Linked DNA regions of Arabidopsis thaliana. The protein of the gene in region 1 interacts with the protein of each later gene in a biochemical or structural test. Each region holds a gene or a part of one and is shown in the gene's direction. Other genes may lie near its edges.

The links.
Region 2: the proteins of NPQ4 (region 1) and CAB2 form a complex in vitro, tested with the Arabidopsis thaliana proteins (one study listed by BioGRID).
Region 3: the proteins of NPQ4 (region 1) and DEG1 form a complex in vitro, tested with the Arabidopsis thaliana proteins (one study listed by BioGRID).

What each region holds. Positions count from the first base shown.
Region 1 is NC_003070.9:16,868,598-16,877,043, forward strand, and holds NPQ4 (Chlorophyll A-B binding family protein), read left to right. Parts: upstream 1-1,623; 5' UTR 1,624-1,677; intron 1,678-2,913; exon of another isoform or gene 2,914-3,021; 5' UTR 3,022-3,170; coding exon 3,171-3,362; intron 3,363-3,446; coding exon 3,447-3,560; intron 3,561-3,639; coding exon 3,640-3,883; coding exon of another isoform or gene 3,884-3,951; exon of another isoform or gene 3,952-4,349; coding exon 4,350-4,597; 3' UTR 4,598-4,827; downstream 4,828-8,446. Other genes in the region: AT1G44608 (uncharacterized protein), read right to left, coding at 6,652-6,899, 7,379-7,661. UniProt on the Arabidopsis thaliana protein: Plays an important role in non-photochemical quenching (NPQ), a process maintains the balance between dissipation and utilization of light energy to minimize generation of oxidizing molecules, thereby protecting the plant against photo-oxidative damage; acts upstream of DLDG1.
Region 2 is NC_003070.9:10,472,237-10,478,956, reverse strand, and holds CAB2 (chlorophyll A/B-binding protein 2), read left to right. Parts: upstream 1-2,987; 5' UTR 2,988-3,064; coding exon 3,065-3,868; 3' UTR 3,869-4,301; downstream 4,302-6,720. Other genes in the region: CAB1 (chlorophyll A/B binding protein 1), read right to left, coding at 83-886; CAB3 (chlorophyll A/B binding protein 3), read left to right, coding at 5,711-6,514.
Region 3 is NC_003074.8:10,363,233-10,371,778, reverse strand, and holds DEG1 (DegP protease 1), read left to right. Parts: upstream 1-2,834; 5' UTR 2,835-2,914; coding exon 2,915-3,336; intron 3,337-3,425; coding exon 3,426-3,548; intron 3,549-3,706; coding exon 3,707-3,878; intron 3,879-3,999; coding exon 4,000-4,037; intron 4,038-4,264; coding exon 4,265-4,463; intron 4,464-4,581; coding exon 4,582-4,734; intron 4,735-4,837; coding exon 4,838-4,972; intron 4,973-5,042; coding exon 5,043-5,120; 3' UTR 5,121-5,170; exon of another isoform or gene 5,171-5,430; intron 5,431-6,110; 3' UTR 6,111-6,127; downstream 6,128-8,546. Other genes in the region: AT3G27930 (beta-galactosidase), read left to right, coding at 1-61, 152-205, 305-388, 473-561, 641-721, 850-980, 1,172-1,213, 1,330-1,406 and 4 more; MYB0 (myb domain protein 0), read left to right, coding at 8,273-8,411, 8,521-8,546. UniProt on the Arabidopsis thaliana protein: Serine protease that is required at high temperature. May be involved in the degradation of damaged proteins. In vivo, can degrade beta-casein.

The sequences.
Region 1 (8,446 bases):
TTCTTTTTCTTATGGTTTACTCAACCCAACTTTTAATTCGCTCTTTTGCCATGAGCTAGTAGATCACTAGTTGGGTTTGAGGGAGTTTCAAAAGGGATTCATGGGGATGTTAAATCTGGTTTAGGTTGGCAGTTTCTATGATTTTGTTTGATCGTTTATACTATTCTTTCTAGTTGAGTTTGATCTTAATGCATGTATGTCTCGCACACCACCTAATACATGATCTTAGGTATTTTATACTTAGCATAATTTCGTATAATTGCTTGAACCTAACTCACAAATGAATATTGTGTTATAACTATGCAAACGCTAAGTTATAGAGCCTTATGGATTAGAATCGAACTTGAACTTAAAGATTTGATCTATGCGTCGGTTTTTCCCTTATTTTGGGGTCTATTGTTTTTTACAAAAATCTTAACAAAATGCGATTCAAAAATTTGAAACCCAATACAAATGCATCATAAAAATTGGTGAAATGCCGGACCAGTCTGTCCTCGATCAACAGCTAGTTGTTCTCTAGATTTTGAAATATCTTGAGGATGTTTACCCGATGTCTCCGTCCCCACGTTTCTGATAAATGAAACGGCAGTAGATAGAAATATATGTGTTTCCTAGTAAGTTAACTGTATTTCTTTGTGACATATTATGTTATGTGTACCATGTTATTTGGCTATTTGCTATGATAATGTATAAATTATCACATAGCGTCCTAGCGAAATTAATAAAATCTATACTCGAAAATCATTAATCTGAAAGTTCATTAACAGATACACGCCAACATAAAACTATAACATGTTAAAGAGAAAAATACTATTTTCTAATTGATTAAATAAAATGTAAAAACATCCAAAAATACATGTCACATTATTGTTATTTTACTTATTAGGTTTGTTCCCAAAGTATATGCCTAAGCCCACTTGTTTTGTAATAACGTGAAATGAGCAGTTCGTGTTCAAACACGTCTTACATGGAGACAATTAATTAAACACCACTTACTTGTTACTACAAATATACTCTTTCGGAGTGTTGCGAGCAATTTATAAGTCGCACATATTTTTGACTCGAATCGAGTCAATCAGGTTTTCTCAAACTATTAGGGATTTTATGTAATATTTTTTTTTAAAAGGTATATTGATGTGAGTTGCCCAAAAAAAGAAGAAGGTGTGATTGATGTGAAATTGTTTTCAAAATAGGGGTTTAATGTATGTACATATAATTAAAATTAAAATGAAAGTTTATGATATTTAAATATTATATGTCCATTTTGAATATATATGATGATTGTTCAATTGATACAATTTAAATTACAAAATAATGAACTTTTTAGTAGAAGACAATGTTTTGTGTTTAAATTATAACTTTAATGAGACTCATAGAAAGAAAACAAATATGCCTAAACCCGCTTGTCATGATGTGAGATGAGGTGTTCGTGTCCAAAGTTCAAACACGTCTCTCATCGAGAAAACTAATTAAACACCAAAAATTATTCCTTTCTGAGTGTTGTGCGAGTATTTGTAGTTTCAAATGTTTTTTACTCGATTCAAGTTTTTACCGTCCCTAACTATTTTAAGGTTATAAGCGGGTGCGGTTGCGGTTACGGGAGTTTGCGGAAACGGGCGATCACGGTTTTAAGCGTTATCAAGCATTTTGAACGACTGGTTGAGCGTTTGATAATAGGTGCGTTTGCGGGAGTTTTATGACTGATAAACCAGCCGGTGCGATAGTAATTAAATAAAAAATAACCAAAATAAATATAATATATTACTATTAAAAGAAATAAAAATATAATATATTAGAAAAATTGATTTTCTGACCAAATAAAAATACAATATATCATCTCGTCCGACTAAAACATTTTCTAATCGAGAAAACAAATCGAAACATGTATTCAATCAAAAAACTCAAAAGAATACAAAATAAAATAAAAACAATGATGCCATGAAATAGTCAAAGAATTACACTAGCTAATGAGTGAATAAAATGATAGATGATACTTATGTTTGATTCTTGATTTTGATTTTCATCGGATGCCATAATTGAGAGAATAGAGTTACAATATATTGATTAGGGTTTTCTAATAAAAATAAGATATATAAAAGATTAGATTATTTTAATTATAGTGATTAGGGTTTGGGTGGAAACCACAATTATTTTAATTAACTAAAAATAGATTATTTTTTTATTTTTAATCTAACCGCTACCGCCCGCAACCGCAAACGCTTGCGGGAAGGAGCTTTTGAAAATTGGCAATTTTGAGCGGTCCAAAGCGATATCTAGCGGTTTCTATGATTGGTTCCAATCGCTAATAACCGCTACCAACCGCAAACGCTGCGTTTATGGGTGGTAGAGGGAGAACCAATCAGCCCTTAACAAAACCGAAAAAACTAAAGATTTGAACCTAAGTGTCGAAGATTCTTTCGGACCAGTCTTTACCACTAGACTACCTAACAAATACGAAAATATGAAGCCAAAATTGTTTTTATACTATTTGCGACCGTAAGTTTGGGTTTAGCCCGCTTGTGTTTGTGCCCGGCTCTGGCTATATTAAAAAAGAATTAGATATTTTTCAAATATAATATTTTTTACAAAATATGTAATTGATGTGAATTTTTTCAATATAGGTGTTCTTATTTATATACATATTATAAAAAAAATTAAGCCATTTCGTTTTTGTAATATCTAATGTACCAGTTCCATTAGTATGTACTTTGCTAGTATAACATACCCTTTTGACGTGAATCTTCTATGAGTATGTTTCTTTAGTTTTGACCAGACACAATTCATTTACATCAATACATAAATTGGATTTTAGTTCCAAAATATGATTTTCTTGAAAGAAATATTTTATATTTTTATTAGAAGGAGTTATTAGTTCGTCATAAATGGTTCTTTGAATATGACATTTATTTTGTTTTTTTGTTTACTGTCTAAATAAGTATAACTTTTAAAAAGTGTATCTAAATTTTTTAAAAACTATTATATTGATAGATTTATTTTTCTCCACAAAAACGTTATCTCCAGTTCACCACATAGAGAGTATGGAAAGGACAATTGGGAGACGTGGACGCACTTTAAGCCCATCAATAGATTTCCCTTATATCTTTTAATCTCTTCACTTCCACAACACAACACAAAACACATCACTGATCCTTCTCTCATCCTCAGAAAGAATGGCTCAAACCATGCTGCTTACTTCAGGCGTCACCGCCGGCCATTTTTTGAGGAACAAGAGCCCTTTGGCTCAGCCCAAAGTTCACCATCTCTTCCTCTCTGGAAACTCTCCGGTTGCACTACCATCTAGGAGACAATCATTCGTTCCTCTCGCTCTCTTCAAACCCAAAACCAAAGCTGCTCCTAAAAAGGTTTTCACATACTCTTTACTTGTCCCACAAGGAACATTTCTTGTGTGTTTGATGGTAATGTTAAGATTTTCATATACATTTTAGGTTGAGAAGCCGAAGAGCAAGGTTGAGGATGGCATCTTTGGAACGTCTGGTGGGATTGGTTTCACAAAGGCGAATGAGCTATTCGTTGGTCGTGTTGCTATGATCGGTTTCGCTGTAAGTCCCCTCTATGAAATACACTAACTTATCTTCCAAGAAAGAAGCTTTAGTATGAAAGCTGTGTTTCTATGCATAGGCATCGTTGCTTGGTGAGGCGTTGACGGGAAAAGGGATATTAGCTCAGCTGAATCTGGAGACAGGGATACCGATTTACGAAGCAGAGCCATTGCTTCTCTTCTTCATCTTGTTCACTCTGTTGGGAGCCATTGGAGCTCTCGGAGACAGAGGAAAATTCGTCGACGATCCTCCCACCGGGCTCGAGAAAGCCGTCATTCCTCCCGGCAAAAACGTCCGATCTGCCCTCGGTCTCAAAGAACAAGGTATCTCTCAACATTTCTATTTCTATCTTTGTTACAATGACATTGCTCTGAACAACCAATGCAAATAATATAACCTGATAGAGTACTATAGTAACTAGTATAACTGAATTGGCCTAAGTGTAGTGTCCGGATCGGCTTTATGTTTATTTATCGTTATCCTAAGATACAAATGTGAGACAAAAGATACTAGCATGGAACTGTCAATCTCCAAAAATAATCTCTAAATGTTTATTTATTTATCGTTGGCCTGATAGATTATTTATCGTTATCAATTTCTATCTTTTTCCCCCATGTAAGCACATTGGTTCCTGAATGGCTTTCTCTAGCAGAGAGTCTCTTCCCGTTAACTTAAATAAAATAGTGTTTCTGAAAAGAAAAAAAGATACAAATATGAGATTACTTAAAGAGTTGCTTGGTCTAATGTTTTGAATAAATTTGAATATGTTTGTTGTTTTGTTGTGTGAAGGTCCATTGTTTGGGTTCACGAAGGCGAACGAGTTATTCGTAGGAAGATTGGCACAGTTGGGAATAGCATTTTCACTGATAGGAGAGATTATTACCGGGAAAGGAGCATTAGCTCAACTCAACATTGAGACCGGTATACCAATTCAAGATATCGAACCACTTGTCCTCTTAAACGTTGCTTTCTTCTTCTTCGCTGCCATTAATCCTGGTAATGGAAAATTCATCACCGATGATGGTGAAGAAAGCTAAATTATCATGTACTTAAATTTAGTAGAGAGTGTGTGACCTTCTCTTCATGTTGAGACAAAAGGAAATGGACAGCTTAAATTGTTGTAATACTTATATCCTTTTGTTTTTAACTTGGAATTTTCTGATTATATATAGTTTTATTACACCTAAGTGACTAGGTGATTGATATCATCTAGCATCTCTTAACAGAAAAAAACTGTGGAATTAGAACAGCTTCATCATAGTTTTTTTTTTTGATAAATCAAACAGAATTTAAAACTAATATGTTAAAGTACATGTTAGGAACTTATTTGATTCCAAAATCTAGATTATAAAATTAATTTGGTAAATCATGAAGGAGCCGTTGTTTTTGCTCTAGTGGTTCCCCAAAAATCAGAACATAATGGCAAGTGTTTATGGCCGCGCGTACCTTCACAAGATAGTTTGCAAAAGTGAAGGTAGCGTCTCCCCTAGAGTGATTTTCTCCATTCGTCTGGTGTACCTGGCTCGTACAGGCCGTCTCTGGGGGTGGCAAGGTAGGCAAATGCCCAAGGTTACTAATCAATTTCAAAAAAATTGTTAAGACTAAAAGGCCCCAATTTTTCCAAAAAAAAACATTTACTAAGAGATTTTATTTTATTTTGAGTTTTGCCATAGGTCTCATAATGAATTGAGCCGGGATCTAAAGCATACACTGCAAGAGTAAATATTAATTTCTATTCTAGAGGACGTCTTCGATGTTGACGAAAAGAAAAGTATCCCATGCAAATCCAGCAACTCTGTCCTATTTCGGACAGTCCAAAAATCGAACTTACGAAACAATTGATCTAAAAATCATGAGCGTTCCAAATACTCCTCATAATGGTAAAATTCATAATCAAACTTCCCAATAAAAAAGAAGCCAAAAACATCTAAAATTTATGTTTACCTGTACCCAACCCTTAAACATGTTTTCAAAAGAATCTCCAAAATCATTCCTTCATCAAACCAAATCAAATCTTAAAATAAAATTTTATATAAAGAAAAAAAAAACTTAAAACCCAAAATGTGAAACGTAACTCAAAAAATAGAAAGCTCTTTCTAACAAAAATAAATATGTTTAAACTTCTAACCCCACGTCATTATCATCTCCTTCGCCGTCTTCAATGTCTTCTCCTCCGGTGATTTTCTCCATGATCTCTTTTGAAGATGAGATTACAAGATTTCTACTGGAAAAGCGCTTAAATTTGATCAACAAAAATCGACTGTTACCATATCAAATACTCCATTATAGAATAGAATAGCTCATGTGGAAAAGCGCTTAAATTTGATCAACACACGATTTTGTGCCTATTTCGACAACGACATACACTTGAAAGTGCTTTATTCGTAATTGATCCCAATATATCAAGATCTAGATAATTTTTCTTTCGAGTTCACGGACTTGACTTCATAGACATACTTTCATACACCAAAGTACTTGGTCTCCAAGATTTAAATCTTTCTCTCCAAATAATGTCCAATAAGACAAGTCTTTCTCTTGATTCGCTTGTGTGGTGCGACGGAGGAGTTTTCAAGCCATTTCAACGGCTATCTCTAAGCAAACGAGGTTCTCTTACATGCGCCTTCTAAATAAACTTTTGCTTTTTCAAAAATTAATTAAGAAGGCTTGATAAAAAAAATTGTTTTTTTTCTATTACTTGGGCCTTTTAATCCCATAAACAAATGTATTACATGTCCTTTTAGAAAAGCTTTTAGTTTCTTTCTTTTAGTTTTCTTTTGTCTGTTTTAATACAATTTTTTTTTGACATTTTGAAAAGCGGCAATGATTGATTAAGTTATAACTTATGATTAATCGTTGATCATTGTTAATCTTTCTGTAGATCGGTTTTGCAATGAATAACGACATAGGTTGTTGTTTGGTTAATGTTTTTTCGTTGTGAATCGAATATTGATTTCATCTTAGAGTTGCAAATAATTAAGTATAAATTATGTAAGAGAAAAAGAACAAGAAGAATACCTATAACAAAAAAATTATTGTAAATTTTGAGAAGTTATTAATCTTAGAGTTTCTGTTAAGTGGGGGACAAAGGCCTTCACCAACTTCTACTCAAGTCATCTTCACTTTTAACCTTGGCGGACAAGTGACATGCTCTAGACCGGCTTTTGAAACTGATGACGTGTAAGAGTCTACGAATCCGTTTTCTCCACGACAGTAGAGGAGGAAGTGGTGTGGACTGAGGAACAAACTCCTTCTTCGTGTGGACATGTTGATATTGCGTTTCTTTTCCTTTCTCCCATGAAGTTGCTCGGTTGTCTTCGAAGTTGATCGAAATGAATGAATCTATAGATATATAAAATAAATTAATAGAGCCACCTTGTACCGTTGATCTTTATGGACGTTTTAAATTTGGTAATTATTATTGAAATATTTACTCTTTTAGTTAGATTTAATATTTTTTCTTAACCTAAGAATCCGCAAATAGGTAAACAAAATTATAAAGTGAAAATATTTGAAAAGTTAAATTAAAATATTATTTATTTAATAAACAAAAAATATATTATTTATTTAGAGAAGGGAAAAATGATCATTTTATTCTTCAACTATTTGTAATTAACGTGTGCGCAGTTCTAATTATTGACTTAACAAATTTGGCCCAAAATTTGGTCAATGTTAATGTTTACTAGTTAATAGAAAAACGTTAAATTAGTCGATTAAAACTTAATAAATTCAGAAAATGAGAGTGGATATATAAATATTTGTGGCTATTTACTATATATATACTCTCTAAATTAAATAAAAGAGTTTAGTACATATGGTACCTTCTGGACTGATAATGGAGGTGTTCTGGTGATCGGACTTGTGATGTCGGAGTTCGAAGAAGCTAAAGAAGGAGAAGAGTCTGATGGGTTTCTTTCTAGAAGAATTTTGAAGGATGGTTTTCGGGATGGTTTGGTAGGAAGAAGGAGGACATGGAGGGCGTAATCTCTGTAGAGAAGCCACGACCAAAAGCCTCTCGTTAAGACAGAGAGGACACACACCTTCAATAACATCTACTGGATGGATGTTACAAGAAGATGTTGAGCTTTTGTTCTGTCCTTTCATGGCTTGTCTAAGAGAGAGAGAGAGGTGAAGAAATCGAAGACTGTTTTTGTTTAGAGACTTGATTCGGCAAATCTACTTAAGATGGTGAGAAGCAGAATTTGTGTGTGTGTGTGTGGGTGGATATTGGTTTATGAGCTGTCACTATTTAGAAGATGTTAAATAATGAATGTAATCTGATTTTGAAATTTAACAATGATTCGAAATACGATCATGATTGGTAATGAAAAATATTATAGTTAGGGAATAGTTATTAACACTGTCAATGGTTGGTACATGATCGTTAAAAATTCCTAAATTAGTCTGGATTTCATGTATGACAAAACCATGACTCATATGGATTTAAGTAATTGAAAAGTGTGAACTTAAAGTGTTAAAGGTTACGGCGAATTTTGGCAGATTTTGACGAATAGCTTATTTTAATATTTTTCCGATTTTAAAATTATATAAATACTATTTTAGAATAAAATATATAAATATAATAAATAAGTATGTATCTATTCATTATATTAAAAGAGATTTTGTTTTTTTTATCAATTGATATTAATCAAAACTCAAACGAGCTATTTTCGAAGGAAATTGGTTATATATATGATATGACTAAAAGATTTTTGTTCTTGTTGGAATATTAAATGAACCGCTACTTTCACTTTTGGTGAATGAAAACATTGGTAGTAAAAAACTGGTAACTATGGAAAGATACCCAAAAGTATGCATTTGCAATCAAACATTCTTAGATACCTAAAAGTATGCATTTGCAATCAAACATTTTTATGTGCGTTTAGCAC
Region 2 (6,720 bases), 6.4 Mb from region 1:
AAATTTTACATCTAAACAAGCTCTCTTTCTCCTCTCACACTCACGAAGCAAAGACTGAAGCAAAATACAGATAAAACTTGGCTCACTTTCCGGGAACAAAGTTGGTGGCGAAGGCCCATGCGTTGTTGTTAACTGGATCGGCCAAATGGTCAGCAAGGTTCTCTATCGGTCCCTTACCAGTGACGATGGCTTGAACGAAGAATCCAAACATAGAGAACATAGCCAATCTTCCGTTCTTGAGCTCCTTCACCTTCAACTCAGCGAATGCCTCTGGGTCGGTAGCCAAACCCAATGGGTCGAAGCTGCCACCGGGGTAAAGCAAGTCCTCGGCCTCTCCCAATGGCCCATTTCCTGCGACTCTGTAGCCTTCAACGGCTCCCATCAAAATAACTTGTGTGGCCCAAATGGCCAAAATGCTCTGAGCGTGAACCAAGCTAGGGTTTCCCAAGTAATCGAGCCCTCCATCGCTGAAGATCTGTGAACCGGCCTTGAACCAAACCGCCTCTCCGAACTTGACTCCGTTTCTAGCCAAAAGCTCAGGGAAGACGCAGCCTAGGGCTCCGAGCATGGCCCACCTGCTGTGGATAACTTCTAGTTCACGGTTCCTTGCGAATGTCTCGGGGTCAGCTGAAAGTCCGGCGGTGTCCCATCCGTAGTCTCCGGGGAACTCTCCGGTAAGGTAGCTCGGTGATTCGCCAGAGAATGGACCCAAGTACTTGACACGGTCAGATCCGTACCATGGGCTGCCTGATGGGCCCTTTGGCTTGGCAACAGTCTTCCTCATTGTCACACGGCCGCTTCCAAGGACTTCAGATGCCGCGGGGGAAAGCTTGACGGCCTTACCGGCGAAGGCAGGGGAGGAGAGAGCCATTGTTGAGGCGGCCATTGAGGTTGAGTAGTGCAGCACAAAGTAAAACGTTTAAGATTTGTTGTTGTAAGCCAAGAAATGGGTGGTTTGGTATTGATGCGATTTTCGCTATATATAATACAGAAATCTAAATACTGTCTTATCTTGAAATATCAATCTCTGAGGTTGCTATTGGCTAGTCATAGATTTTTTTTGGGGTTTAGATTGTTTGTTTGCTTACGTGGTTAATGGCTCGCACTTCGCAGATTCGCAATTGATATGTGTTTTAGATATCTAGGTGCGTTTCATGGATTGGCGAAACACCCACTCATGACGTGACACGTATACGAATAGATCTCTCTATCCTTATGAAATCCTGAGAGCATCAATGTAAACCAAAACAAAAAAAATTTGGATAATTGCCTTGTATAATACATTTTATTAAACCTTTTGTATATATGCTTCTTTTTTTTTTCTTCTTCTGATAATAATAATAACTCTTGGCTAGAGATAAAACATAAGAACAAAGTAGATAAAACTATAAAATTTATGTATGGAAATAAGATTATCTAAAACTACGGAATTGAATCAAACTTTACCACAGAAACATAAGAAATTATTACCATCTTAATTAGCACCTGTATTGACCATAATATTTTATTAGAAGAAGAAGAAAACATTGGAATCCACCAGATCAAGGTGATGGTCAGGGTCATAAGACAGCTCCATAATCACGAGTCATGGTCATAGACTCATAGCCACAAGTCTGCTTCTCCCTTACCAATACCAACGGCTTCAACAACGGCCACAACTAATAAGCCAATTCCAACGGCCACCATATAACTGAACCGGATATTCACCAAACCCATTTCAACCGGAAATTGATCCACAAGTAATTAAAAATGTTCTGACCAAATGTGGAATAGGTGGGAAAATGTTGAAGTAAAGGCCAATTCTATAATGTGAGAGGAAAACTCTTTTTTGAGCTTCAGGAATATTTTCTTAGACCTGACCTTGAATCTATATTTTGTAGTTCTTCAATGATTTGATTTCTCTATTCATTTCCTTATAAATTAAATTACTTGTGAAATGAATTTCTGTTTAGAAAAACCTTGAACTTCCTAGTTGACCAAAGGATTAGAAAATCTTTCTAAGTGGAGTGTCTCCTAATAATGGATCAAAAGTGTTTGGAGCAAAAAAGAACGCATAGTGTATTAGTGTTAACAGCTTTTATAGTTCAAAGTTTAGAATGTGCTCTAAAGCATATGTGTGAGCCTGTGAGGTCTAGTGATTGTAAAAAAGAAAAATTGTGCTTCGTGGAAAGTGATGCAATAAACAACACTTCTAGGGCTGAGTAAAACCAACTAGACATGTAATGATAGCTTAAACCGTTTTCTATAGGAGTGTGATTGAGGAGTAATTTGTTGATGAATTCGGAAAAAGCGAATAAATAAGTTTGTTCAAAAGGTTGTTGAAGTTTACAATAAAGATAACTTGAATCATGATAAGAAAAAAAGTAGCTATATGTTCTCTAAAGTCTAAACCCATGATGATGAACATGCCATATGAATTAATATAGTTCTTTCATGTTCTTAGAAATGGTCGATAAGTTAAAACAGTGTTTCATTAATCGTTGTGTTTCTTCGATAAAGAGTAAAACGTCAAAGTTTTAAGGTGATATCACATAATTCATGAGATTATTTTGGTTATTGGATAAAGTGACGATGAAATCGATTCATAATTGAAATTAAACTGGTAGTGATGATGAACTAATTACCATTGAAAATATTGATATTTATGTGTGGGTAAATGCTTTTTATAATGTTACTTTATATTAATGTTTCGATCATCAGAATCTATATTTTCAAAATGTTATACTTTAAGTTTTAGTTATTGGGTTGTAGCAAAAATCATTCTTGTCACGAGGGTGTAAGTAAGTGTAACCGTTGAAGTATTCAGTGGCTCATAACTTGTGGTCACAAAACGCTTGGCTGCAATGAAAAAATCAAAACAAATGCTGGTGGACTAGAGATTGCCACGTAAGACTACTAAACGATAAAACAAAAATCTTAAAATCCAATGAATGAACAGATAAAGATTACTTCAGATATAACAAACGTTACAATATCCCTATATAATCCAACACTATCGAACCAGTTTTAATCACTCTCACTCACAAGTTAGTCATAAAAAAAAAAAAAACACAAAAAAGTTTCAATGGCCGCCTCAACAATGGCTCTCTCCTCCCCTGCTTTCGCCGGAAAGGCTGTGAACCTTTCCCCTGCGGCATCAGAAGTCCTTGGAAGCGGCCGTGTGACAATGAGGAAGACTGTTGCCAAGCCAAAGGGTCCATCAGGCAGCCCATGGTACGGATCCGACCGAGTCAAGTACTTGGGTCCATTCTCTGGCGAGTCACCCAGCTACCTTACCGGAGAGTTCCCTGGAGACTACGGATGGGACACAGCTGGTCTATCCGCTGACCCCGAGACATTCGCAAGGAACCGTGAGCTAGAAGTTATCCACAGCAGGTGGGCCATGCTCGGAGCCCTAGGCTGCGTCTTCCCTGAGCTTTTGGCCAGGAACGGAGTCAAGTTTGGAGAGGCAGTTTGGTTCAAGGCTGGTTCACAGATCTTCAGCGATGGAGGGCTCGATTACTTGGGAAACCCTAGCTTGGTTCACGCTCAGAGCATTTTGGCCATTTGGGCCACACAAGTTATTTTGATGGGAGCCGTTGAAGGTTACAGAGTCGCAGGAAATGGGCCATTGGGAGAGGCCGAGGACTTGCTTTACCCCGGTGGCAGTTTCGACCCATTGGGTTTGGCTACCGACCCAGAGGCCTTCGCTGAGTTGAAGGTAAAGGAGCTCAAGAACGGAAGATTGGCTATGTTCTCTATGTTTGGATTCTTCGTTCAAGCCATCGTCACTGGTAAGGGACCGATAGAGAACCTTGCTGACCATTTGGCCGATCCAGTCAACAACAACGCTTGGGCCTTTGCCACCAACTTTGTTCCCGGAAAGTGAGCCAAGTTCTATCTGTTTGTAATTTACTTTTCTTTCAATCTTTTGAATTCGAGTGAGAGACAGGAGGAGAAAGAGTAGGTTTGTGTTTGTGGTGGATGGTAGAGACTTTCAGATGTAAATTTGCAAAGACTTTGTATGATTTGTCATTAATCAAATAACTCATTGTTCTCTAAATATGTTTCGTAGAACTATAATTGAATTGGATTTTCAGTTCTTGGGTTCACTCCGTTGTAGAGGCTATTTCTACAATCGAGCAACGTGATTGAACATATTAAGGCAATGGGTACAAAGATTATGTTCTTTTCAAATCAAGAGAAAATGTGATTCTCGGATGTTAGCTTGAACAACACGAAAGAGTCTTTTATATAAGTTTTTTATATTCCCTTGATTTAACTTGTATATCGTCTCTTCACAAAATATGATCGCATTGAAGAAGAAATTGCAATCGTTTTTTTTCTTCTGATTGAGAGAATTAGAGAATAGATAATGAAGTAGTTTCTTCCGTGTTTGGTTGATTCTGAAGCTCGTAACATTGGCTCATACGATATCTGGATAACAATATATCACATTGCTCTGATACCATATTAAAATCACATCCACGCATTGAATGGACTGATCATATATCTTACATATTAGTTAAAATCCATTGTCGTGCGAGAGATTGCCTTCCGTGACATCCTCTGTGGACCAGGTTCGCTTGTCACACTAGCTATAATTGGTGAACACATGATAACATATATGTTTGGAGCATAGAAGAGCTAGCGCCTGTGTCATTGGTGTGTGGTATCGAAAGAACAAGAGAATAGAACAGGAGAACATGAATATAGCTAGGTTTATTCATTTTCACCCCAAAGCTTAGAAATTGCGTTCCAAAGAGTGGGTGAATTCATGTGTGAGGGCAATTAGTGATTGTAAAAATAAAATTGTGTTTTGTAAAAAACTTTTACTGTCGAAATTATTTAGGGTGATGAAAAAATCAGTAAACTACGAATGATAGCTTAAAGAGTTTCTATCAAAGTGATTGAGGAATAGTTTGTTGCAAATTAAACCTCTAACAAAATGTTTTCTGTTGTGGTTTTTCATCTCTACAAATTTTGAATTTTATGATGAATTAGAAAGATAGAATGAGTTACTTTAGATTTTAAAAGGTTGTTCAAGTTTACAAAACAGATTACTAGAATCATGATTAAAAATTTACAAGCTACATATTGTCTAAACCAATGATGTTGAACATACCAGATGATAGTTTTTCAGTGTTTGAACAATCAATTGGATAGTTTTTATGTTTCTGCAAAATATGCAAATAATCAGTGTTTTTGAGTCTTTGCATTTTGATTTAAAAGCAAAAACAACTGAGTTTCAAGGTTAAATTAATTACATTATTCATGAGATTTATCAGGTTAGTGGATAAACTGACAATGGAATCAATGTTATTGTAAATTGGTAGTGATGTTGGACTTCTAATGTTACTCTCTATGATGTTTCGGTCATCAATATCACACTATCTTTACTTTTATTTAAAGGAAAGATCACACAAATAAGTTATCTCTATTCAGAACTATTAAGCTGCTTCCAAAAGACTTGCAACATGTGGTCTCGAAATGCTTTGGCTGCAATGAAAAAATCATAGCAAAAGCTAGTGGACTAGAGACTGCCACATAAGAATAGTAAACGTTAAAACCAAAATCTCAAAAATCCAATGAGTAAAGAGATATAGATTACTTCATAGATAACAAACGTTACTCGCAATTTTCCTATATAATCCAACCCTACCTAACCATTTTCAATCACTCTCACTCACAAGTTAGTCACCAAAAAAAAAAAAAAACACAAAAAGTTTCAATGGCCGCCTCCACAATGGCTCTCTCCTCCCCTGCCTTCGCCGGAAAGGCTGTGAACCTTTCCCCCGCGGCATCTGAAGTCCTCGGAAGCGGCCGTGTGACAATGAGGAAGACTGTTGCCAAGCCAAAGGGTCCATCAGGCAGCCCATGGTACGGATCCGACCGAGTCAAGTACTTGGGTCCATTCTCTGGCGAGTCACCGAGCTACCTTACCGGAGAGTTCCCCGGAGACTACGGATGGGACACCGCTGGACTTTCAGCTGATCCCGAGACATTCGCAAGGAACCGTGAGCTAGAAGTTATCCACAGCAGGTGGGCTATGCTCGGAGCCCTAGGCTGCGTCTTCCCTGAGCTTTTGGCTAGGAACGGAGTCAAGTTCGGAGAGGCGGTTTGGTTCAAGGCCGGTTCACAGATCTTTAGCGATGGAGGACTCGATTACTTGGGAAACCCTAGCTTGGTCCACGCTCAGAGCATTTTGGCCATTTGGGCCACTCAAGTTATCTTGATGGGAGCTGTTGAAGGCTACAGAGTCGCAGGAAATGGGCCGTTGGGAGAGGCCGAGGACTTGCTTTACCCCGGTGGCAGCTTCGACCCATTGGGTCTTGCTACCGACCCAGAGGCTTTCGCGGAGTTGAAGGTGAAGGAGCTCAAGAACGGAAGATTGGCTATGTTCTCTATGTTTGGATTCTTCGTTCAAGCCATTGTCACTGGTAAGGGACCGATAGAGAACCTTGCTGACCATTTGGCCGATCCAGTCAACAACAACGCATGGGCCTTCGCAACCAACTTTGTTCCCGGAAAGTGAGCCAAGTTTTATCAGTTTGTATTTTGCTTTTCTTTCAGTCTTTTGAATTCGAGTGAGAGACATGAGGAGAAAGAGAAGGTTGTATGTGATGGTTTGAGACTTTCAGATGTAAATTTGCAAGACTTTGTATGATTTGTCATTAATCAAACTCAATTTTCTCTCATACTAGTCTCGTATTAACTAAAATTCAAATGGAATGTTCTTGG
Region 3 (8,546 bases), on another chromosome or scaffold:
GTGCTGTAGATGGTAGAGTGGAAGGAGATTTTGTTGGGAATGCGGAGTTTCGCTGGCAAAGGTATAGATTCTTTAGTTTTTAATCTGAAAGATTACAAGTAGTTGTTGGAGAATTGGAATACTGATTAGTTTGTTTTTGATAAATATGCAGTGATGTTGATGATCCTCATACTTTTGTTGATCTCTCTGTGTCAACCTCGAATCCGTAAACTTTGTGCTACTTTTGATATATTCTTGGAGGTTATGTTCATTACAGTAGTTTAATGTTTTGAAATTGTTTGTTTTGTTTGTCATCATCATTAAGGGTTCTTCTAATGAGGTCTTCTGCTTACTATCCTAAATATGGAATCGGGGCATTTGCGGTCTACCCTTTGATTTCAAAAATTACGTAAGTCGTATCTAGGTGTGTACCCTGTTGTTATATTTAGATTAGATGTAATATTGTGAGGGTGAATATATGTTGTCTCTGTAGTGGAAAATCATCTGAAGAATATAGAATCATGGGGTTGAGATATGGCTCAACGAATTTGTCTGTCGGAGCTACTGTCACTCCTTTTAGTGGTAAGCGCATAAAGTTGCTCTGTGAATTCACGTTGTTTTCTTTTGGACACAATGCTGACCCTTTGATTCTTCAATTCAGCGAATAACGAATTGCCAAAGCATGCATGGCTTGTAAGCAAGATGGGAAGTCTTACAGTAGGAGTACAATATGAGCCGCTACGTGAGTTAGTTTACATTGTTTTATTTCTGTTGAACAGATTTTACGCATCACATGTGGAAACTAGTATCTATAAATTATGTGATTGAAAGAAAGTGAGCATCAACAATTGTTATTGGATTTTGTTTTAGATGGAAGCAAAGATTTGGCAAAGTACACAGACCCAAGAAACTGGAGTTGTGCTGCTGGCTATGGAGTAGGGTCACAAAGCCCCTTGACTCCTTCTTTTAACATTGGCATTGAACTAGCAAGAAGCTCTCAGGTGATTCTTTTAAAATCCGTGTAGATGAAAACATGTTGTTTTGCTGTCTGTATGCACAAGTCTTAACCCCAAACAATTTTTCAGTATCTCATGGAACTTGACAAACGACCACATTATTTATCTAATGGCATATCATCCATTTTGTAGCATTTTTAGTCTTGCTGATTATGTTATCTTTCTTGTAAATGCAGTTTATTGCTTCGTTCTACCAACACGTAGTGGTCCAAAGACGGGTACAACTCTTTCAAACAAGTCCTTTTTCTGTGCTGCATCTTATACTAGTCTTCCATATATAAAGTTTAGCACATCTTTGGCTCAATATGAAATCGATTTAATGGACTTGGAACAGGTGCAAAATCCTTTCGAAGAAAACCAAGTAGTTGGAATCACAAACTACATTGATTTTGGTTTTGAGCTACAATCGAGGTAGTGAACATCTCTAAGTAAAAAAAAAAAAAACATTGTAGCTACTGTTTGTCTATACAGAAACAGAACTTTATATTTCGTCTTAATATTGAAGGGTTGATGATTCCAAGACGCCACCCAATGCCCCAGATTCTTTATTGCAGGTGGCTGCGTCTTGGCAGGCCAACAAGAACTTTTTGCTGAAGGTATAAAAAAATATTTACCTTATCGAGTTACTCAAAAAGAAACCATTTATCTCAAATTTTGCTCAGTATGTAACATTTTCAACTTTTGCAGGGTAAAGTCGGAGCTCATAGCTCAACATTGTCATTAGCATTCAAGTCGTGGTGGAAACCGTCTTTCGCATTCAATATTTCAGGTATGCGTTGATAAATAACCTGAATGCAGCGAAATCAAGATGAACATAGGTTCTTGGTATTTGAACATGTTTGGACTCATTTTTTATGCAGCAACAACTAATCATAGGACTGGAAATGTCCAATGTGGGTTCGGTCTACGTGTTGATAACTTAAGAGAAGCCAGGTCAGTCCATTTGTGACAAGTTTAAAATTAAATCAACCCTCTTTAGCTTCATGATCTTCTTCACATTGTTTTATTTTGTGAAATTGCAGTTACCAAAGAGCTGATCCAAACTTTGTAATGCTGACACCGAACAAAGAACATTTAGCTGAAGGGATTGTGTGGAAAATGGGGAAGAGACCAATGTATCAAGCCGATGTGGACGCAGAGAATTTTAGTGAGCTGCCAAAAGAACTTAGACCGTCCCAGAAGATTCTCTAAACTACACCATTAATCTTTTTGCACTTTTATCTAGTAGATTTAGATATCAACCAAGTCAAGTATTTAATAAGTTCGACGAAAGAAGAATTACTTAGGAATAACCATTTTTACTCTTATGGAGTACAAGTGTTTAGTGTTCAAAATTAGGAGTGGATTATCTGGTTTAAACTCTTAAGTTTGGTCTTTTTGGGCTTTTGATTTTTCGAAGTTCTTAAATGAAGCGAAATCCTGATTTGTTTTTGGACTTTTCATTCGGTTTGGAACGATATTTATATGGGATGATATATTACGGGTGAACAAATATCAAACAAAAACAAAACAAATAATATAAAGAAATACAACTTAAATTTAAAAATTTTAAAAAATCGATTATTGGTGTACTACGGGTTATGGATATAAGTAACAACATTCTTTATAATATTTACCATAATAAAGGTTACTGTTTAAATTTATTTTCAAAGTACAAAAAGTTTTCGATTCAATTTGATTCGGTAACAAAAAAAAGACCCGGTTTTGTTTATTCCAGATTCATAAGATCATAAAATAGTGGTTTACTAAACAAATTTCAATTCAATTTCGGTTCGATTCGGTTACGTATACAAAACCATAGCTTCGCATAGAAAAACCATTATTTTCAAAAATTAATATTTTTAATTACAAAAAAAAATGAAATAAAACAGAGACCACAATCCCATTGTCCCATGACCAGAAGAAGAAGAAGAAACTAAATGGCGACGACGACGAGTTGTTCGCTTCTCCTTTCTTCCACTCTCTTCCTTCACTCTCCTCCTTCTTCTCACCTCTCCTTCTTCAATCTCTCTTCTTCACGATCCTCTCCAATTTCTCTTTACCCAATCCGATCCAAACGCTATTTCCGAATCCTCTCGAAGCTTTCACTAAACGACAACAACAGAGACGACGATGATGATACTCTTCATTTTACTCCGTTCTCCGCCGTTAAACCTTTCTTCCTCCTCTGTACCTCCGTCGCGTTATCGTTTTCACTCTTCGCCGCTTCTCCCGCCGTTGAATCTGCCTCGGCGTTTGTAGTTAGTACTCCGAAGAAACTTCAAACTGATGAGCTCGCGACGGTTCGTTTGTTTCAAGAGAACACTCCTTCCGTTGTTTACATCACTAATCTCGCCGTGAGGTATCTGAATTTGATTTCTCTCTGGTGAATTTCGTTTTGAATTTCTTCTCTCCGTGATTTGAGGATTGGTCTAATGTTGTTTGAATTAGGCAGGACGCGTTTACATTGGACGTTCTTGAGGTACCTCAAGGCTCTGGTTCAGGATTTGTGTGGGATAAGCAAGGTCATATTGTTACCAATTACCATGTTATTCGTGGTGCTTCTGATCTCAGGTTAGTTATGTTGAAACTTTGAGAATCTGATTGATTTTTGATAGAAATTGGAATTAGTAATTGTTGTATTCTTAGTTTTATAATGAGTACATTGTTTCTTTGGATGGTTTCTTTTGATGTTTGTGTATGATAAGGAAGTTGGATGATGTATATAACAGGGTCACTCTTGCTGATCAAACAACATTTGATGCAAAAGTTGTTGGATTTGACCAAGATAAGGATGTTGCAGTATTACGTATTGATGCACCGAAAAACAAATTAAGACCTATACCTGTTGGAGTCTCTGCTGATCTGCTTGTTGGCCAGAAAGTCTTTGCCATTGGCAATCCAGTGAGTATACATCCTTAAAGTGATCATAGATTAAAGCTCTGCTTTGTGTTTTCTATTGCTAGCTAGGTCAATACTTATGTTTCTTGTTCATACGCACTAAAGCAAGAACTTTTTTGTGCAGTTTGGACTTGATCATACTCTCACAACTGGTGTTATAAGGTATGTTAAATTATATTTGTCTTCTCTTTTTTTTAAGTTGCATTCTACTCTAATCAGATGTGTTCTTCTCATAACGAACTCACAAATGAAAGTGTCAAAAAAGATGATTGGTACTTGAGGATACTGGATACATATATTTTCTCTTGCCCCTCTTCATGCCAAATGGCTATACTATTCCTTTTCTCTTATTAAAACTGTAGCATGTTTGTGCATTATGATTTGTACAGTGGTTTGCGAAGAGAAATTAGTTCTGCTGCAACTGGTCGTCCAATTCAAGATGTGATACAGACAGATGCAGCCATTAACCCTGGTAACAGCGGAGGACCTCTTCTAGATAGCTCAGGAACGTTAATTGGTATAAACACAGCCATTTATTCTCCTTCTGGTGCATCTTCTGGAGTGGGCTTTTCGATCCCAGTTGATACAGTGAGTTCTCTCTTCTTTTTTACCCATTGCAAATCTGATCAGATAGAGTCTTTCTCTATCATTGAATCCACTAACGGGAGACTAAAGTTGTTTCGAGCTCTGTTTCTCTCATGTTCAGGTTGGTGGTATCGTTGATCAGCTGGTGAGATTTGGTAAAGTCACCAGACCAATCTTAGGTATCAAATTCGCACCGGACCAATCTGTTGAGCAATTGGGAGTGAGCGGTGTGCTCGTCTTGGATGCTCCTCCAAGTGGTCCAGCCGGCAAAGCCGTAAGCTCTTCCTGTTTCCAAGTTTCCATATAACAGATATTTTCTCTATGTTTCACTCCGCGGTTTTAATATTGAAATGTGTAAAATTGGTTTTGTTCCACAGGGACTTCAGTCAACAAAACGTGATGGTTACGGGAGACTAGTACTAGGAGACATAATCACGTCGGTGAACGGTACAAAAGTCTCTAACGGGAGTGATCTGTACCGGATTCTCGATCAATGCAAAGTCGGCGATGAGGTAAACTCCGCAGTTTTTGTCAATTAGTTTCTGCATCCGAGATAGTTTTGACACTGATGATGTTGATTAGGTGACCGTAGAGGTTCTAAGAGGCGATCACAAGGAGAAAATCTCTGTAACTCTCGAACCAAAGCCGGACGAGTCTTAGAAACGTCGTTGAAAGAAGTAAATATACATAACGTGTAGAAAAAAAGTCCGGTGGGTTATATTTTTGTATATCAATTGTTCGGAAAATAGATCGTCCAATTGTGTACATAAAATCTGTTTATATTTGCATACATGCGAAAGGTAACCGGAAATAACCAAAATTGCAATGTCTTCAAACGGTCTTATGGTTTGGATTGGTTTTTAATTTCGGTTCAGACATTGGGAGTGACGAGTCTGACACCTAGAAAAAATCAAAATGAGAAAAATGAAAACCGAATTTCGTCGGCTTAATGGACAGTTACCTCATCTTAGCAATGATGCATAGTACTGATTTTGCGGCTTTGTAGTACCAAATTTTTTTTTCAACACTCTCTCGGATGCATAGTACTGATTTTGCAATGATGCATAGTACTGATTTTGCGGCTTTGTAGTACCAAAATAAAATTTCATGATTGTGCGGCTTAGCAATGATACATATTACATAGTACATTAGTACTGATTTTGGACCTTTATTTTAGTCGAGACAATTCTGAACTTACGGATTCCGAAGTTAACAAAGTCCTTTTATAGCTTTTATTCAGTTCCGAACATGGTTACTTTTTATACATGAAACTTCCTAAAATTTTACATCTACAAACATTCGAGTTTGAAAATTTAATGGTTTGATTTTCGACTCATTACCAAGAATTTCTTTTTGATATTATTCTTCATGATTTATCAAAAGATGTACGTGTATTATATGGTTATGTCTTGAGTTCATGTCATGTGTTCGAATCTTTATAATATAGTCTTACACGGTTTAGGTTATTTGTTCAATTGTTAAGTCATTTTACGGTCCCTATTTCACATTATGTTAGTTTTTTAAAATATTTAAAACAACGTACTGTAGTTTTGATAAATTATTGAGTTTTTTTATTAAGTTGTGAACGCATGCTCTCGTTGAGAGATCATTTACTCGAGCTAAGTTATGACTTGGATGGTTGTGTTGCAGGTGAAAGGTAGCTTTGCAAAAAAAAAAAAAGTTTGAGGTTATGTCTGCATGTTTCCCTGTATACAAACTCAACCATTTGTATTTTATTTTTTGGGTGCAAAAACTATAATTTACGTAGTTTTTGAACACTTTCATAACATCAAATATTACCCACGTGATAAGTGAAAACGAACCGAATATGTAATGATCAGCGAAGGTCCCTACGTGGAATTTAATATTTGTGTCATTCTTTTTAAGCAACACCAACAAGACACTGACATGGGTTGGTATTTATAAATTTGCAACGTAAAGTATATGTAGTAAGATTGTATCTTCTATGGTTGGGACTGTATCTAAACCAAACCGGTTTAATAGGGTATATATTTTTTTTGTCTTTGTCTTTGAATTTGTGGGGTCATAAATCACGGGCATCTTCATTTGGAAATGTATTCATAGTAATGTATATAAACTACTTTCGAGCCGACTTGGTAATGATTACGAGAATCCTCTGCTTTTGGAGTAAATTTCTAATTTAATATGTACGTGTATCTAGATATATATACGACGACATGTCGTTACCCAAATGCTTCGTTAGAGGATAGCTTGTTGAGAACTTGACTATGCCAATCATATATGTTTGTTTGGCTTTATGTAGCCCCAATATTAACAACTTAATACTAAAAAACCTAATAACAAAAACATTGAGTAAAAAACTACAGTACTTATAAGTAAAAAGAATAATGATAGTAGCTACTTCATATACATAATTTACATTTCTTAGAAATAATTGTTTGTACTTTCTCGAGTTAGTCAAAAATTAAAGTAGTTTTTTTATAACCGAAATACTATTTAGCTAGTGGAAACTATATTTTTCTGTTTTTGTGCAAGTAAATAGTATGCATATTTATAAGGGTATATGTATAAGCTAGCTCGAAAACCAAAGTAGAAGAGAGTAGGAAGGTGGTAACTGGTAAGTAGGGAGACAAGTGAAGAGCAGAGCTTCTATTCCTCCAATTATTTAGTTAAATAGTTGTGAGACATATTCCTTACATATTCAGTTTCACTATTTTATTCTCTACCACTTAACTTGTTAGTTGGAACTAGGTTATATGGTATTCAACATATACTCATACTTTGTACGTAGACGCTTTCTTGAGTAAATAAATTAAACCTTTCATCAAAATATATATATATATATATATATGTCTTTGTATATTAACAGTATGCACACACATATATATAATTTAGGTCCATAATTTTTCTACCCCGAAAATTAGAGGAGATTAATTTGGTCTCTTATCTACTATAATGTTCGAACTTGTGACTTGAAAATTCTCATTTTGACTAACTAATCAGTATACAGGCTAAACTATCTGATTAGATTTAAGAAATTAAATCGATATGATATGTAAATGAACACATAAATTTTGTGGTCTATTTTTAAAACTCAATTAAAGAGGGTAACCTCATGAACTTTTAAAAAGTATGTCGAAAAGTTGACTATAATTTGAGAAACAAGACATATGGAAAGGAGAACCATTTCATTGATCCATCAAAGTTTCTTTTTTCATGTTTTATCTTCTGCAAAAAAACTGTTTTAGGGTGAACTCTGTGGTACTTTTAAATAGGTTGTTCCGATCCCACTTTGTTGTATAAATAACTAAAAATAATATGTAGTTCCAATGAAAAAGATCATTATCAAATATTAGTAGAATGTAAGTGTATACAGTGCATAAACAAACTGGTTAACGTGTCAAATAAATTACAAATCAGTTAAATCATACAATATAGAACATTTCGCAGTAATCTGCCCCATATTTAGTAGATTTGTTTTTGTAAATTTCATGTCGCAAGTATAGTATTTAGATATTGCCAGAGGAGAAAAAACAATTTTTTTATAAATTTTTTGGCCATAGATACAATTAAACCAACTGCCAAATTTTAGCTTTTAATACGTAACGTAGGGTAACAAAGGATAACGCTATAGTCGCTATCTATACATTATTAGGTACATATTTATGCTTATAGCCATGATTACACAAAGATACGTATTGATGTGAGTGTATATATAAGCACGTGTCACGAAAACCCATCATAAGTTCACTACTCATAATCTCTTTCTCTCTCTCACACACACACACAGACACACACAAACATAGAAGGAATCAGAGAATAAAAAAAGAATGAGAATAAGGAGAAGAGATGAAAAAGAGAATCAAGAATACAAGAAAGGTTTATGGACAGTTGAAGAAGACAACATCCTTATGGACTATGTTCTTAATCATGGCACTGGCCAATGGAACCGCATCGTCAGAAAAACTGGTACTCTTTCTCTCTCTCGCGCGTTTTGTGATTATATATATTAACTTTAGTCTCTAGCTAGTTCATATATAAATATATCTCAGTTAGACTAAATTTGATTCGTTGATAGGGCTAAAGAGATGTGGGAAAAGTTGT